3 linked regions of the Drosophila melanogaster genome follow. The gene in region 1 interacts genetically with each later gene. Each region holds a gene or a part of one and is shown in the gene's direction. Other genes may lie near its edges.

Evidence for each region.
Region 2: of C3G (region 1) and ksr, changing one suppresses a phenotype caused by changing the other (phenotypic suppression), as found in Drosophila melanogaster (one study listed by BioGRID).
Region 3: of C3G (region 1) and RacGAP84C, changing one enhances a phenotype caused by changing the other (phenotypic enhancement), as found in Drosophila melanogaster (one study listed by BioGRID).

What each region holds. Positions count from the first base shown.
Region 1 is NC_004354.4:6,787,931-6,792,828, reverse strand, and holds the start of C3G (C3G guanyl-nucleotide exchange factor), read left to right. Parts: upstream 1-1,793; 5' UTR 1,794-2,606; coding exon 2,607-3,117; intron 3,118-3,777; coding exon 3,778-4,368; intron 4,369-4,435; coding exon 4,436-4,626; intron 4,627-4,703; coding exon 4,704-4,898. UniProt on the Drosophila melanogaster protein: Guanine nucleotide-releasing protein that binds to SH3 domain of Crk. Transduces signals from Crk to activate RAS. Also involved in MAPK activation.
Region 2 is NT_033777.3:5,477,846-5,485,907, reverse strand, and holds ksr (kinase suppressor of ras), read left to right. Parts: upstream 1-2,001; 5' UTR 2,002-2,270; coding exon 2,271-5,171; 3' UTR 5,172-5,918; coding exon of another isoform or gene 5,919-6,062; 3' UTR 6,063-6,125; coding exon of another isoform or gene 6,126-6,275; 3' UTR 6,276-6,335; coding exon of another isoform or gene 6,336-6,521; 3' UTR 6,522-6,586; coding exon of another isoform or gene 6,587-6,790; 3' UTR 6,791-6,865; coding exon of another isoform or gene 6,866-7,022; 3' UTR 7,023-7,518; downstream 7,519-8,062. Other genes in the region: CG31550 (uncharacterized protein), read right to left, coding at 1-269; Hcs (holocarboxylase synthetase), read right to left, coding at 1,001-1,178, 1,249-1,580, 5,919-6,062, 6,126-6,275, 6,336-6,521, 6,587-6,790, 6,866-7,022.
Region 3 is NT_033777.3:7,283,942-7,288,211, forward strand, and holds RacGAP84C (Rac GTPase activating protein at 84C), read left to right. Parts: upstream 1-2,020; 5' UTR 2,021-2,163; coding exon 2,164-2,483; intron 2,484-2,619; coding exon 2,620-3,427; coding exon of another isoform or gene 3,428-3,451; exon of another isoform or gene 3,452-3,510; intron 3,511-3,547; coding exon 3,548-3,574; 3' UTR 3,575-3,688; downstream 3,689-4,270.

The sequences.
Region 1 (4,898 bases):
GTCTTCGCCGGCCTGGCTGCTCTTACAATTTCCCATTTGTGCGGTGTGCCAAATTAATTGGGTGAACGTGACTGCTGCTGCTCCCTAGTGCTGCCATCTCGTACTGGAGGAGTGGGTGGTGGCTGACCGAGTGCCCGAAAACAAAGCCCATTTCGGGCACTGGGTCAAAAACTGAAATTTTTTCGCAATTGCTAGTTCCCGGAAATTAATGTAAAGCATTGCCCGCTCTTTGTTTTTTACAATTCTCCAGAATGTTATTCGATTTTAATTAACAGTTTTTATTGGAATTCAAAGCTAATTTTGTTGAAACAACTAGCACTACTAGGCATGACTAGTTTTAAATTCATAGAAAGTCGAAGCTCGTTTAAGGTCCTATTAGAGAGGCAACGAACTACGACGACCTTGATATTCGAACTTTTCACTGGACGCAGGCAAGCTTTATTCTATTTTAATTGAGCCATTGGCTAGGATTTCAACTTGGCCTTAACCTTAAGCCAAGGATTCAGTTCCACCCTTTGGCCATTACCCATTACAAGGATGGCCTTTCTTTTTGGCCGCTAACCCGATCCACTTGGGTTGTTTTTTTCCTGCTTTCCATATACATTTCAGTTAGTGGGGGCTTATTGACTTGCTCTCTTGTTTTGTTGTAAGCTTTTGCTTGAGATATATAGTTTTTTATATATTTTTTTTATATTTATTTTCTTATTTATTTTCTTGCTTGCTGTACTCACTTTTGGCGACGCCTTCGATTTTCGCCCATTTGCGCAGCAGCTAGTTGATTTCCAAGGCAAGTCACGAGCGGCACTTGCAAATTGAAGAAATCCGCCCGGCGTCTTCTTGTCTCTTGCCCCGCATCCACCTCACCCCCCCCCCTTTACCACTCCCTTGTCGCCCCCAATTACCGCCCCCTCACCCTTCGCCACGGGCTCTTTCTCAGGTGCGCCAGCTGATTGATAATTGGGCGGAGAGGCCGACGGTTGGAGAGCAGCCTCCCGGGTGAAAAGAGCCGCAAACCGCGGACTGCACTGCGAGAAAGGGGGGTGTACCTGCAAGTATAAACAGTAAAGTAACTTGTCATTTTAAAATAGAAATATTATCGTAAATATATACTGAATATTTGCACGATTTCCGAGCCACATTGAATGGATACGTTTGTAGCACCCGTTTGGTCCATCAGTGATGTGAACATGTATGATTTGTTTGATGAATCTCGGAAAGAGAAAGAGCGATGTGGCGAGAGCAGCAGGAGAGATCAGGAGAGATGGTGAGAGGGCGATTGCCAGGTGGGCAAGTGCCATTTGGGGCTCTTTTTTTTTTTTGCCCCCTCGGCGGCTCTCGTGTTGCTGCTGCTGCTGCTGCTGCGTCTGTTGTTGCTGCTATTGCTGTATTGCTATATTGCTAATGTGTTGCCATTGCCGTTGGCCGGTTAGCGGGTCTCCAAGACTCGGACACTCGCTTTTGCCGCCTGGTCGGTCTTTCAGTCGGTCGGTCGTCTTTGGCTTTGCCCGTTTTGCGGATTTTCATAGTTCAGTGCGCTTTCCAGTCGACAACGACAACATCGCGAACGGACTACGACGACAGCCGCCGCAGCAGCAGCAGCAGAGCGCCAGTGTCTAAATATAATCATCTTTATTTGTGATTTATTTAATCAACATCTCCTCACCCAGAGGCCAACCAGATAGATAGCCCACTGCGGGGGCGGTGCGCCAACGAGATGGATGGATGGATGGATGATGAAAAATCAAAGAAAAGAGCGCCAAATTGCACTTGAAAAGTGAAAGAAATTGCACTGAGAGTGGCAGGCCAAAAGTGTTAGCTTATCGCTTATCGGCGATTGAATCAATCAGCCGAAGCCTGTTGAAATTTCAAGTTCAGAAATGCAAAAGTGACTGTGCGGCGAATGGAAAGCTATTGGGGAAAATTGCGGAAATCGCACTTGAAATATAAGTAAAGCAAAAGACAAGTGGCTTTGGAGTTGATTACCTTCAATTTACCACAATCGGGCAGGCAGTAAGAAACGGAAATTAGGGCTTGATGGCTTTTAAACATTAAAGAAAATAATATACGGAAATCACTATGGCCAATTGAAGTGATCTCTAAGCTGGCATACTTGTATTTCAGTCAAACAAAGAGTGTCCAGAACAATTCTTGCGGTTGCCACAGGAAGCTTGAATCGGTAATCGCTTGAATTGCCTATCGGACTATCGAACGAATTGCAAAAGTGAACGAACATGATGAGAAAGCAATTGAAATCTACTTCCTGCTGGCAGAGCACATCGGATATAGCTTTTATCAGTGCTTAAAACTTTTTCCGAAAACACTGAAACAACCGAAAACTGAAAGTGAAATAATCAATGTAAAACATGCCGAAACAGAAAAATGAATTGATGTTGTAATCGCGACGGCAATCGCTTAAATCAACAATCTTATACGAAAACGATGTTGCTGCTATCGCTTATCGCTATTTGGAGAAATCAGTTAGGCCAACGTGTGTGTCTTTTGGCCAAGCATATTTAAGCCACAACAAATTGTTGTTATGCGTGTTGCTGTCGCTGTTGCTGCTGTTGTTATTGCTGCTGCTGCTGCTGCTGTCATTATGCAACATTATGCCGCAGTTTGATGAATCTTTTTTGAGCGACTGTGCGCTCGCCGACCGCTGGCATTTCTATTCGTACACGGTCAAGCAATTGCCGCCACATCCGAGTCCGAAACCGAATCGGAATCGGAATCCGTATCCCAGCGGTGCCAGCCACGATGACCATCAGCACCAACTCCATCATCATCATCATCAACAGCACCATCACAATCATCATCGTCTTTGGAAGACTCAGCGGCAGTCGTGGTCGCCGCGCGACACCAACAACAATCATAGCCTCACAAGCAACAACTGCAACTGCAACAGCAGTAACACCTGCAACAGCATCAGTGCCACCGGCAACACGTTGCATAGCATCAAATTCCACAGACGTCGCAAATACAAAAAGCTGGCACGATTGGCGCTATCAACGCCAGCGATTCCACTGCAGATGGATGTGGATGTCGATGTGAATGTGACCGTGGATAGGGAGTTCGATATGGAGATGGACACACCTGTGCCGCTCAAGAATGCGGTGTGCCGTAAGTGAAAGCTACTCGCCGGTCTTTTCGCTTGGTGGGTGGTGCTCATCGGTTTCTCGCTGTTTTGGATCTTTAAAAAAGTTCCGAAACTAAAATGTTTGGGCTCGCATGAACGATTCCCGAAATGGGGAATGCTAGGAATTCCGTATTACATATGTTGATTTCAATTGCAATTATTTCACATTTAAGTAGACACGTTTCAAGATTCGAATGAGTACATATGTACATATATTGTGTTGTGAAGGGGTAATGATGAATCTTTTCAAGATTCCTCAAGCTGTTTGGCTAACTCTGAAAGATTTTCATTTTCGCTGCTGGCTTAGCCACTTTAGAATGATGTATACGATGACCTTAAGATATTCATCTTACCTAACCAAATGAAGAAAAGTAAGAAACGAAACGATACCAACATTGCCATATATTGCAAAAGATTGTGGTTTTATATGGAGCAACTTTTGATTTTCAAATTGGCATTCAAGAATGCGGCTCGAACAGGAAAGACTCTAAGCCCATGATATGTGTATATATATAGGATCTAGATTCCAGTCTTAGTCTCTTATTATTGTTACCCAAAAACGTATATTGTTATCTAATGCCTATGAATTGATTAAGTGTACCTACCTTAGATTAATAATCCCCGATTTCTTGCTCTTTTTGCAGACGGCAGCATCAGTTCTCCATCCACGCCCGGCACCTGTTCCAGTGGCATCGGAGTGGGCGGTGGCGGCTGCAGCAGCAGCAGCAACAATAGCATCAACAGCGGCAGCTACTCCACCGCCTGCACTCCGCCACCACCCACGCATCAGCATCACTCGCAGCACCAGCAGCTGCAGGGCACGCCGGGAGGATCTAGTCGGGTAGGGGGAGCAGGAGCAGGCGGAGGTGGTGGTGTACCACCGGCACCACCCAGTGCCGGATCCTCGGGCCACAAGAACAGTCTCAAGGGCACCAAGCTAGCGCGCCGGGCGCGTTCCTTTAAGGACGACCTCATCGAGAAGATTTCCCTGATGCGAACCACCAACAATACACTGGGTCGCTCCCACTCGCCGCACAGTCCGCGCACCAAGCACGGCACAAAGGCACCGCCCACCACCGAGGAGGTGCTACGGTCCACCCAAACCCTGGAGACGCACGTCAAGGACATTTCGAATGCCCTGAAGCACTTCCGGGATGTTATACTCAAGAAGAAGCTGGAGGTGTTGCCGGGCAACGGAACGGTCATTCTGGAAACCATAGCCAGCATGTACTCCGGTGAGTATCTACTACCCCAATTTCCTCGTTTTGTAATTAATCCAGTTGCTTTCCTTTGCTGCCGCAGTGATCCAAACCTATACCCTGAATGAAAACAGTGCCATCATGAGCAGCGCCACGCTGCAGGTTTACCAGAGCCTGGGCAAGCTCATCAAGCTCTGCGACGAGGTGATGCTCTCCGAGGACAGCGGCGAGTGCGCCTCCCTGAGCAACGAGAATGTGCGGGAAGTCATTGATCTTCTCGAGGATGCTGTGCGGGTAAGTCCAATTAACACTAACCTAGTACACAGTGTATTGCTATAATAAATACGATGATGTTTCATGATCGTGCACAGAATCTCGTTACGCTGGCGCAGGGCAAGCTGAAGGAGCAGGATCAGTGCGCCTTTCGCTACAGTGGATCTGGCTTGGGCGGCATTGGAGCGGCGGCGGAGATCATGGGTGCGGTCACCGCCTCGCCGGGAGCGAGTGTTCCCGGTACTGGAGTCATGCGCGTTTCGGCCGCCGAATCAGCTGCCCAGCGTACTTCG
Region 2 (8,062 bases), on another chromosome or scaffold:
AGGCCATCCTCGCCGGCCGCTAGAGAGGTGTCCTGGACGGCGGTGTCCAGGTATCGGGCATCCTCCTCATACTCCACCTCGTTGCCAATGGGTTTTCCCACAGTCGTCTCGGTTTTCAGCTGCGCTGCCAAGTTCTGCGCCGCGGCCACCGCCTTCGCCAGCTGTGCCGTCTTCTGCTTCTCGAGGATCTCTTGCCGTTTCTTGGCTATGATCTCCTCCTGCTTTGTCATCTGGGCGAAGCGGTCCACTCTGTGATTTCGCTGTGACATAATTCCCAATGCCGCAGACTCCGTTTTATTCCACAATTTTCTTTTCCAGCAAAGCAACAGTGTAACCAACTCACATACTTGGAATTATACCAAGTCTTCGCATCACCAGTGTTGACAATTTTATAGGAAACTACACTGTCAAGCTCTCTTTAGTTCAGTTCAAAAAAATTTTAAAAAATATAACTTTCTAATGAAAGTTCAGTTCAAAAAAAAATTTTAGAAGAATAATAAAATAAACAATTTTAGAATAAAAAAATTATGTAATAAAAAAATCCATCTTAAATTTAAGATAAGACCTGTGCGGCAGTTAATCTCAGTGGTCTAAGGTCAGCAATGATCGAATATGTATTTATTAAATTCAAATTTCAAAAACACCCGTATGCAGAGGAATCGATGGCGATAACAATGGTAACAAACGCGATTATCTTACGAAGTAATTTCCAAACACTGGTTTATAGGGAACAAACAAATGTACCTGTCATTATAAATATTTTGAGACTTCCTTTAACATATAATTCTCTTTGGCAGTATTTAATTTAGTGGATTAAATTATCCATTATTATTTCGTAAAGCCACTTAAGAAGAATCACCTTGTAAATATTTATAAGGATAAACGTTTTTACGTAGTTATAAATTGACCTAAATTTGCCTAAAAAGTACAAGTTGCTTAAGGGCCAATTAAACTAGAGGGTTCGGGGAATAATATGAGTTTTCACATCTGCTTCATTTCACTATTGATACTTGGGTATAATCAATCCCTTCAACATATCAAAGCTGTTTCCATCGGGCTGCACAATTTCTATAGTACCAGTTGGTAATTTCACCTCCAAAAATCCAAAGTCATCGATTCCCACAATTTCGGCCTCTTTTTCCTGATCTTTTTGTAGGCAAATCTTAACAGATTGCCCGCTGTACATAAAAACATGTTAGTAAATGTAATATGCAAATTAAATGTATTTTAAAAATGTTTTAAATTTACCTGTGTAACCATAGCGAATAGTATAATGCATAAAAACTATCAAAGTCTCCGTTTTGTACTTCTCCCAAAAGTCTTTCGATTTCATTGAATATCATGGCAATAAGTAGCTCGTACTTAAGTATAGGTAACTTGTTGTTCGGGACACGGGTATTATATTCTCTTATCAAGTCATTGATGCAAACTGTTGGTCTTGAATTGTTCAAATTAATTCCACTTCCGATATTGACGATGGCTTGGGATCCCTGAAGTGTGGTATTAATGACGAGGCCCCCAATTTTCTGATTTCCATTTGCATAAATGTCATTCGGCCACTTAATGGAAATATCCAGCACCTGAAGGTGATATGAATAAATTAAGTAAAACTCGCCTATCTCCGTAATATTACATATCATAAAATATAAATTGGAACATCAAATATTAACTTAAAAAAATTATTTTTAGTTATAAAATTAAAATATTAAAATAATATCTACCTAATTTCCATTTCCAAATAATAAAATATAAATATTAAAATATTTGACTTATTTCGACTAATAAAATAAAAATGTGAAAATAATTTCTGGATTAATTTTTCAAATAGAATTGAAATATATATGCTATATACACTCGAAGACATAATATAATTACAACATAAGAATAATAATACTTAACGTTCTATTTTTTTTAAATACAGAGGAGTGCCCCTAAGTTTTTCGGATAAGTGCTTTTAGTACATTTTGGTGTGCAGTGAGAAGGAGTCCTCCCGGGTATGGTCACACTTCTCTCGATGCGCTACTTGGGTGTAGAGAAATTTCAACAACAGCCGAGGAACTTGTACAAATTATTGCTTTTTCGCATTGCCTAAGCCGTTTAGAGTTGCGGGCGTTAGCGTGCGCGATAGCCGGAGCACCGAACGTCAAGGTCGCTTGGCGAGGGCCACAATGCGGGGCGGAGTCCCAGCCATTGGTCCCATCGAATCGTCGAGTCCCCGAGGGGGCGTCTGAAAAAATCAATCGGGCTCCACTCCGTCGCGAATAAGCAGGATGAGCAGCAACAACAACGCACCCGCATCGGCTCCAGACACGGGCTCCACCAATGCCAACGATCCCATCTCCGGTTCGCTGTCCGTAGACAGCAACCTGGTTATCATTCAGGACATGATTGATCTCTCGGCCAACCATCTGGAGGGCCTGCGAACGCAGTGCGCGATCAGCTCCACGCTGACGCAGCAGGAGATTCGTTGCCTGGAGTCGAAGCTGGTGCGATACTTCTCCGAGCTGCTGCTGGCGAAGATGCGGCTAAATGAGCGCATCCCGGCCAACGGGCTTGTGCCCCACACAACGGGCAACGAACTGAGGCAATGGCTGCGCGTAGTGGGCCTTAGCCAGGGGACTCTTACCGCCTGCCTTGCTCGCCTGACCACTCTAGAGCAAAGCCTGCGTCTCAGCGACGAGGAGATCCGTCAACTCCTGGCTGACAGCCCCAGCCAGCGAGAGGAGGAGGAACTGCGACGCCTGACCAGGGCCATGCAGAACTTAAGGAAGTGCATGGAGTCGCTGGAGAGCGGTACTGCGGCTAGCAACAACGATCCAGAGCAGTGGCACTGGGACTCCTGGGACAGGCCCACCCACATTCATCGCGGCAGTGTGGGAAACATTGGACTGGGTAACAATTCAACCGCCTCCCCGAGAACCCATCATCGCCAGCATGGTGTCAAGGGAAAGAATTCCGCTCTGGCCAACTCCACCAACTTCAAAAGTGGCCGCCAATCGCCCTCAGCGACAGAAGAGCTGAACAGCACACAGGGTTCCCAGCTGACTTTAACCCTTACGCCCTCGCCACCCAATTCGCCCTTCACGCCTTCCAGTGGGCTGAGCAGCAGCCTTAATGGAACACCACAGAGGAGTCGTGGTACCCCGCCGCCAGCTAGAAAGCACCAGACCTTGCTGAGCCAGAGTCATGTGCAAGTGGACGGGGAGCAATTAGCCCGCAACCGTTTGCCCACTGATCCCAGCCCCGATAGCCACAGCTCCACCAGCTCGGACATCTTTGTGGACCCAAATACTAATGCCAGCTCCGGAGGAAGTTCCTCGAACGTGCTTATGGTGCCATGCTCTCCGGGCGTGGGTCACGTGGGCATGGGTCATGCAATCAAGCATCGTTTCACCAAGGCCCTGGGCTTCATGGCCACCTGTACCCTGTGCCAGAAGCAGGTCTTTCACCGCTGGATGAAGTGCACCGACTGCAAGTACATCTGCCACAAGTCATGCGCACCGCACGTACCGCCCTCCTGTGGACTTCCACGAGAATATGTGGACGAGTTTCGGCACATAAAGGAGCAGGGAGGATACGCCAGTCTGCCGCATGTGCATGGCGCGGCGAAAGGATCCCCTTTGGTAAAAAAGAGCACCCTGGGTAAGCCCTTGCATCAGCAGCACGGCGATAGCAGTTCGCCGAGTTCCAGCTGCACTAGTTCCACGCCCAGCAGTCCGGCGCTGTTCCAGCAAAGGGAGCGCGAGCTGGATCAGGCGGGCAGCAGCTCTAGCGCCAATCTGTTACCTACGCCTTCGCTTGGCAAGCACCAGCCGAGTCAATTCAACTTTCCCAACGTGACGGTGACGAGCAGTGGCGGAAGCGGTGGTGTATCGCTCATCTCCAATGAACCAGTGCCAGAGCAATTCCCCACGGCGCCTGCAACAGCCAACGGAGGACTTGATAGTCTGGTGAGCAGCTCCAACGGGCACATGAGCTCGCTCATCGGTAGCCAAACTTCAAACGCTTCTACTGCGGCCACCTTGACGGGCAGTCTGGTCAATAGCACAACCACCACCAGCACCTGCAGTTTCTTTCCGCGAAAATTGAGCACAGCCGGTGTGGATAAGAGGACGCCGTTCACCAGCGAGTACACGGATACCCACAAGTCAAATGACAGCGACAAGACAGTCTCCTTGTCTGGAAGTGCCAGCACGGACTCGGACCGGACACCCGTTCGTGTGGATTCAACGGAAGACGGAGACTCGGGACAATGGCGCCAGAACTCGATCTCACTCAAGGAATGGGACATCCCGTATGGTGATCTGCTTCTGCTCGAGCGGATAGGGCAGGGACGCTTCGGCACCGTGCATCGAGCCCTTTGGCACGGAGATGTGGCGGTTAAGCTGCTCAACGAGGACTATCTGCAAGACGAACACATGCTGGAGACGTTTCGCAGCGAGGTAGCCAACTTCAAGAACACTCGACACGAGAACCTGGTGCTGTTCATGGGAGCCTGCATGAACCCACCATATTTGGCCATTGTGACTTCATTGTGCAAGGGCAACACCTTGTATACGTATATTCACCAGCGTCGGGAGAAGTTTGCCATGAACCGGACTCTCCTCATTGCCCAGCAGATCGCCCAGGGCATGGGCTACCTGCACGCAAGGGAGATCATCCACAAAGATCTGCGCACCAAGAACATCTTCATCGAGAACGGCAAGGTGATTATCACGGACTTTGGGCTGTTCAGCTCCACCAAGCTGCTCTACTGTGATATGGGCCTAGGAGTGCCCCACAACTGGTTGTGCTACCTGGCGCCGGAGCTAATCCGAGCATTGCAGCCGGAGAAGCCGCGTGGAGAGTGTCTGGAGTTCACCCCATACTCCGATGTCTACTCTTTCGGAACCGTTTGGTACGAGCTAATCTGCGGCGAGTTCACATTCAAGGATCAGCCGGCGGAATCGATCATCTGGCAGGTTGGCCGTGGGATGAAGCAGTCGCTGGCCAACCTGCAGTCTGGACGGGATGTCAAGGACTTGCTGATGCTGTGCTGGACCTACGAGAAGGAGCACCGGCCGCAGTTCGCACGCCTGCTCTCCCTGCTGGAGCATCTTCCCAAGAAGCGTCTGGCGCGCAGTCCCTCCCACCCCGTCAACCTTTCCCGTTCCGCCGAGTCCGTGTTCTGAGGGAACTGCAGCATGGCCACTGTCACTGTCTAGTACAATTTCGATCTACCAACTAAGCTAGCTCGCTTTGTGCCCTCGTCCACTCTACACAAACTCTCTCCCAAGGCGAAGTTCTATCGAGCCGAGCGAAGATTGTAAATACATAAACGTAACTACCAAATTATAGCAATCCATTTTAAAAACTACATACATATGTGTAGGCATGTATCGGGAGCACTCCAGTTGCAGTTGTTAGCAAACGAAACAAAGGCAAATCAAATGTTAACTCGAAAAAGACAAAACGCTTAAATGTTTAAGAGCAGAGGCAAACAGAGAAGGCATAGACATACATATACAAACAAACAAACAAGCACTGTGGCAAACATAAATGTAAACGTTAATCAGGTGAGCAATTTCTAAATTGTTAATTATGTGTAAGAGAACTATATATATATATATATATATATATATATATATATATATATATATACATGTATATACAGCAGCAATGTATTGTATATGACGGACTAGTGTTAAATTAAATATATATTGTGAATTATGTATGGTCAAGTGTATATAGTAAATGGACTTTAAATGCGAAATCGAAACAAAATGTCAAATAAACTTATTAAACCTAAAAAATCACTTTGTGCACTTGGCAGTTTTACAGATCCTGAGGTTCGTCCCATCGTCCCACAGGCGGAGATAATCGAAACAATCTTAACTTAAGATTCAACTAAATGGTAAAACTTTACAGTCTTGACTCACCCCGTACTCTTCATGACTGCGGAGCGAATTAACAATCGCCGTTCCAACAAGGTGCTGCAACAGAGGCAGCCGAGAGCTCAAAGCGCTGTCCATGGTCAGGTGCAGCTGCAGCGAGAACATGGCACAGCCCGGCGGACTAAGCCACTGGAAAGCACAAAGCGATGATTTCAACAAGAACTTAAATCTGGATGCTTCTAGAGTACTAACTTGATTATTTCTGCGACCCACTCCGGACGTCTGCTGCACGGGGAGCACAGCCAGGCCGTGGATGAGCTCCAGGTTGTTTATGAGATGCATGGAGCTGCTGACCACCGGTGCATAGATGACCAGTCGTCCGATGTGTTCCGTCTTAAGATTCTTTAAAATAAGAGGAATTTGGGTTAATTCTGCTATAGACTAGAATTAGAATGCGCTCACATCGAAGTAATCCACGGTGGAGAAGTCATCCGGACAGGAATGTATGAGTATGGGCAGGACATTGTTGTTGGCCACTGGAGGCTTATCGTCCTTGCCACAGAACTTCATCGTCAGGTTCGGCGTTGCTATCACGTTGTCGGATCCGCTGCAGCGCAGACGTAGCTTCTCCAGAAGCTCAAACTTGGCCTGAATAACAAAAAGAGCTAGAATATTGGATTCTGATGCCAAAACAAATGGAGAGACGAACTGACCTCGTGCCGACCTAGGAAATATGCGTGCTTGTAGACAACTCCAGGCTGCGGCTGGTCGACACCGTCTCCACCGCGGACCTGCACATCCAAGTACTTTCCCAGGAGATCCGCAAATATCTCGAGGCGAGTTCGCTCGTTTTGCTTTAGAATGGAGTACTTAGTCTCATCGGATTCAAATTCGCTGGGATTCATTTCCAAGTGCACCTGTTTTTTTTTTTGTTTCATAGGAATGTTTTTTTTTAATATATGTTTGTTATATTTACATGAGCAATCACTTACTTGGGAGAAGACGGCCTTTCCGCCGCTCTGCAGGCTTTTGGCCAACATCAAGCTGGGCGTATTCCAGGTTTCCTCGGTTCCCAGCACATGGACATCCAAATTGTGGCTGTGACCGGCCAGATCCTTCAGTTCCATGGACCTTGGACATACTAGAGCTCTGAGCAGCGTTTCGTGGTTTGATTTGTGTTTTTTTTTCGATTTTTGTTTGTTTTTGGTTTGTTGTTATTTTAGTTATTGGTAGGATGGATTATAATAGTGATAGCACACACATATAGAAGCACACGCAGAAATTTAAGGATTTAGAAGGTAAACGTAGCAGGATGGTGAAAAGGTTTGAAATGCCAAATGTTTATAACACAATTAAACAATTAAATTACATGGATGGCACATTCAATCGATAAAAAACAAGAGTTAAGAGAGCTTACAGAAAACATAGATAGGTTAGTTAGTTAGGCGGATTGAAAACGGAGTTTAGATAGATGGATTACAGTGCACACCGAATCAAATAGAAATTAAGCCATATTTAGAGTAAACGAGACCAATTTGAGCATGAAACATTTGAGAAATAAAATGAGAATTGGAATTGGTTAGAATCGGTTTAGTATAAGAACGATTAATTAGGATTAATTCATTTCATTTCAAGCCCCATTCAGAAAAAGTAATAATATACATAAATGAAACAAGACAGGAGGTTGGTTTCGGCAGGCCGAAGTTCATATACCCTTGCAGAAATTACATATGTATATGTCAAGAAAAAATATAATACAAATTAAAACGGGAATTATATATTCCATTTTTATTTCATTTATTTTTCGATTATTCCTATGGAAGCTATAAGAAATAGAGGACCGATTATTCCCTTTTCTTACTTACATATTTCAGGAGGAAGTCTTTTCATGCAAACAGCTTTAAAACTGAGAGGCTAGAATCCTTAAAACTGGATGAACAGACGGACTTGGCTGGTAAAACTGATCAAGAATGAAGAAAGTGCCTTTTAACCCTTTAAGCCCTGAAAACTTCTGACTGGAAGATATATACCTTCTGCAAGGGTCTAAAAAGTAAAGCGTTATAACTTGGCCTCTTTTTTACAATTTACCCGACGGCTGTGCAATAATCGACTTGAATAGGGCTTTCGGGTGTATAAAACATGCAACATTTCGGTTTCAAATACACTGATACTCAGTTAATGGGCTATTT
Region 3 (4,270 bases), on another chromosome or scaffold:
TCTTAAAAAATAGCAGAGTTGCCATTGAAAAATACAATTTATTATAAATTGTTGTTTTTAGTGCCCAACTAGAATTGGGTTAGACAAAGCGACGATTGAGGCGGAATTCTTTAACAGGTTGTTTTGCGATTTATAGTTCAATTCACAAAAGGTCACTTAGTGAACTGATTTTTTGTCCTTAAAATCATATTGGTCATCTTATGTGTAGGCCAGCTTTTCAGAATTTGAATATCTAGTTTTATCCCACATACTGGTGGGTGTTAATATTTCTATTTCTATGTGGATATTTTAAGAGTGTTCCCTAGTAGCTAAATGATATACATCTGAGACTTTTAATTAATTAATTGCTGATTTCATGGTTTTAGTACAGAAAACCATGTGCTAAGATGTTTTTAAGCAACATCCTGAATCTATAACAATTGCGTTAAACTTTTTCATTCTGTTAAGAAGCTTTAAAGTTGAAATATTTTGAGCTCGATGCAACCAAATAATTCCTTAAATTTTGGAGGCACCGGATAAAAACATTTTGATCAACTTTTGTGTGTGAAAAATTAATTATCACCACGTGGCAACACTGTCAACGTGCTTTGATGCCATTTTTTCCCACTCGTTTTTGCCCAGAACTCCCCTCTTTTTTGTATGTTTTGTGGATGTCCAAACATTTTTTATGCTGTTTTGTTGTGTTTCTGTACTTTTTTTTTTTGCTTTTTGGAATACGCAACGGACAGACACACACATAGGGCCACACACGTATTTGAACACACACAGTCAGAGGCGAATCAGAAAAAGTACAAAAAAGCATTTTGGGAAAAGTGGAGTGAGGAGTGAGGCAGGGGATTGCATGGGCTTATTGCGATGCGTGACTCGTATTTGTGGACTTTGAATACAAACAAAACAGTCGGACACAGATAGAAGCCCACACAAGTGCAATTATGAATACTACGCCCACACACACGCCGCATAATCACAGAGAGAGACACTCTCACTCACTGCAATGTGTGCATTTCAATACGCATTAATAACTACGAATTCAATGTGGCAGTGGCAACCATCCTTAGTATTTCAGCCCAAAGCTCACACACACCTAAACCCACACCCTCAAATGCTCACGCACACATAGGCACACCGGCGTCAATGCAGCTGACGCCTAAAAAACGACTACAAAAAAGCATAAAAATCCAATTCCCCGCCTTGCTCGTTAATTTTGCTGGCGCTGCTCTTCAATTCACAGCCCAAAACTGAAAAGTGCCATGATAATTTTGTTTTTACTCTATCCAAACTTTAAAATCGCATAAAAATCAATGCCAATGATGCCATTAAATCAACAGACAGATCCATGTTTCGTTTTCCACAAAAGTTCCAAGCTCGAAGTCCCTTTAAATTCTAATTTTTGTGTTTTTTTAGCAGCACGTTTACTCAACATTTTCGCTTTCTGACGTTCCGGCCTCACATGAACTGCAGCATTTTTTCGTGCTACATTTTTGCTGGTTGCATTCTATGTCTGGTGGCCGCAAAACGGTTTTCCATGAATTTTTCATCCATTTAGCGGCGCCATTGAGCCATTTTCTGGGCGCTTAGAATTCATAGATACTTTAGCAAATTGTTTTTTTAGTTCGATTTTCTACATTCTTTTTGTTTTTAGGGATTTTTAGCTTTTGTATCGTGACATTGAATCTCGGTGTGATTGATTGTCTTTAACGATTTAATTGAATCGAAAATATAAAAAGATCACCACTGACTTGTTTATATGAAGAAGACAGGGCAAATATCTGTTATTGTTAGGCACAAAAAATGTTTATAATAATTTGATTCACTTTTTTTTTGTATTGAAAACAGCATTTTTGATATTTCTTAGTAACACCTTAGTCGCCCATTAAATTTCTGCGGAGCACCCTAGATGTGTGTATGAATTATCCAGAAATATTTACAAATGTACGACCCACAGTAGGCACTCTCTATGGGTGATCGAATTTTTGTGCTGCCAGAACTATTTAAGCTATCAGCTTTCACCCGATTCCAAATAAACCGTAAGAGTAAATAAACATTTCGGTCGAGTATTCGGAGAAGCGAGCCGATAACTTCTGCGTAGCTGACTCAAGCCGAAGTGGCCTCTCTTCGGAAATTGCCAACTGACCAGAACAGCTGAATCAATTCGCCAACTTTATGATTAGTGGCTCTGGGAGTCGGACGCCCTCAAATCGACTTTATTTGTCGCCCGTTCGCCCCACGATGCAGAACAAACGGAGGCTTCTGCGGGAGTACAGGTCCTACGATGACCTCAGCGAGCACTACCGCATGTTTGGATCGCAGTCCCTGGACTCGCTGCAGGATCGCGTGGACATGAATCCCAGTGGCTGCGATGGCTTATCCACGGACGGACTCGACTTCTGCTCGCAGTCCCACTCGGGGCTGCTGAGGGAGCACAATTTCAAGATTAAGTCCTACTACTACAACGTGGGGAACTGCGTACACTGCCGCAAAAGGTGAGTTGCAATCACCGAATGGTGGAACTTCTGAGAGGATTTCGAATTCAGGGAAAACATGAAAAGTTAAATAACATCCCAACCCTCTCTGACCAGCATTTACCTCCCTAACCGCGTGTCCCTGGTCTTCTTCCAGGATCCGCTTCGCCATGGCCAGCCTGAGGTGTCGGGCGTGTCCGCTCCGCTGCCACATCGGTTGCTGCCGCCAGCTGACGGTGAACTGCATCCCCCAGCCTCAAATCGGTACGAAGAGAGGATGTCTCAGCGATTATGCGCCTCGGGTGGCGCCCATGGTGCCGGCCTTAATTGTCCATTGTGTAACGGAGATCGAGGCGCGGGGATTGCAGCAGGAGGGACTCTACCGGGTGTCCTCCACCCGAGAGAAATGCAAACGACTGCGTCGGAAGCTGCTGCGTGGCAAGTCCACGCCGCATTTGGGCAATAAAGACACCCACACACTGTGCTGTTGTGTTAAGGACTTTCTTCGGCAGTTGGTTCACCCTCTGATTCCCATTTACCACCGAAGGGATTTCGAGGAGGCCACGCGGCACGAAGATCGTCTGGCTGTGGAGATGGCGGTATATTTAGCGGTTCTGGAGCTGCATCAGGCTCACAGGGATACGTTGGCCTACTTAATGCTTCACTGGCAGAAAATTGCCGAAAGTCCTGCTGTCCGCATGACGGTCAACAATCTTGCCGTGATCTTCGCTCCAACTCTGTTCGGAGATCTGGATCTAACCCTCGAAAATGTCGTCACTTGGCAGCGGGTGCTGAAGGTGCTACTTCTGATGCCTGCCGGATTTTGGTCTCAGTTCTTGGAGGTCCATCCCCTTCCCACTTCGTTGGGCAGCACCTATGACTTTGAGGACCGGTACAATCACCGTCACTGGGACAGCTCGTCCAATCTGGGATGGTCTTCTGTTAAGACCTACTTTAGATCAATGGTAAGACCTATGGTTTCCCTTTAACGGATTTGGATAGAATTTCATATTCGAATAAGCCAAACTCAATACAAGCAATCAAACATATCATACAAATCTTTCACTGAATACTTCCTGTTTCAGGTCAACCTTAGCAGTACTCACCTATAGTGAAAGTCTTATGACTGAGACATCGAGAATGGATGCAGTCACCCTTTTTTATTTTATTTTGTATTTTTTTTCATTATTCACTACAGTTGAAGAACTAATAATAATTGGATCTCTAACATGTTGTGTATGTGTTGTTGAATTATATGCGGCTAACAAGAGTACTTGACATCTCAAGTGCAATACTTGATTTATTGAATCACCAAAAGATACTCTCAGAAAACACCCATTATTTCCATATATGAAATTCGGCTAATTAAATATAAAGCCAGGCCAAAATCTTATTCGCACCACATAAATAATCTAGCATGGCCCAGAGCGACGTTATCGCAAAACTATATATTTCGAGTATTGAAACATTAATAAACATTTTTAATTGAATTTGCAATTTTTTTCGCCGAACGTTGATTAATTCCCAACCGTTGAAAACATGTAAAAAATTAATAATTTCCATTTCCCATATTTATGTTTCTTTGAAGCGTAAACCAAAGCACAAAGTAAAATATTTTGCCGCGAACACATATAAATAAGTTAAAGCGCCAAGAAAAAAGTTAGCATTTTAAAAACAATTTGGAGAGTGCCGTGCAAAAAAGTGCGGCCATTAAATGCAAAAAACAAGCAAAGCAAAACAAAACTCGAATGCACTGGACGAGTGCATAAATAGACTCACTCCCAATATCAGTCGATCCGATCCCAAGC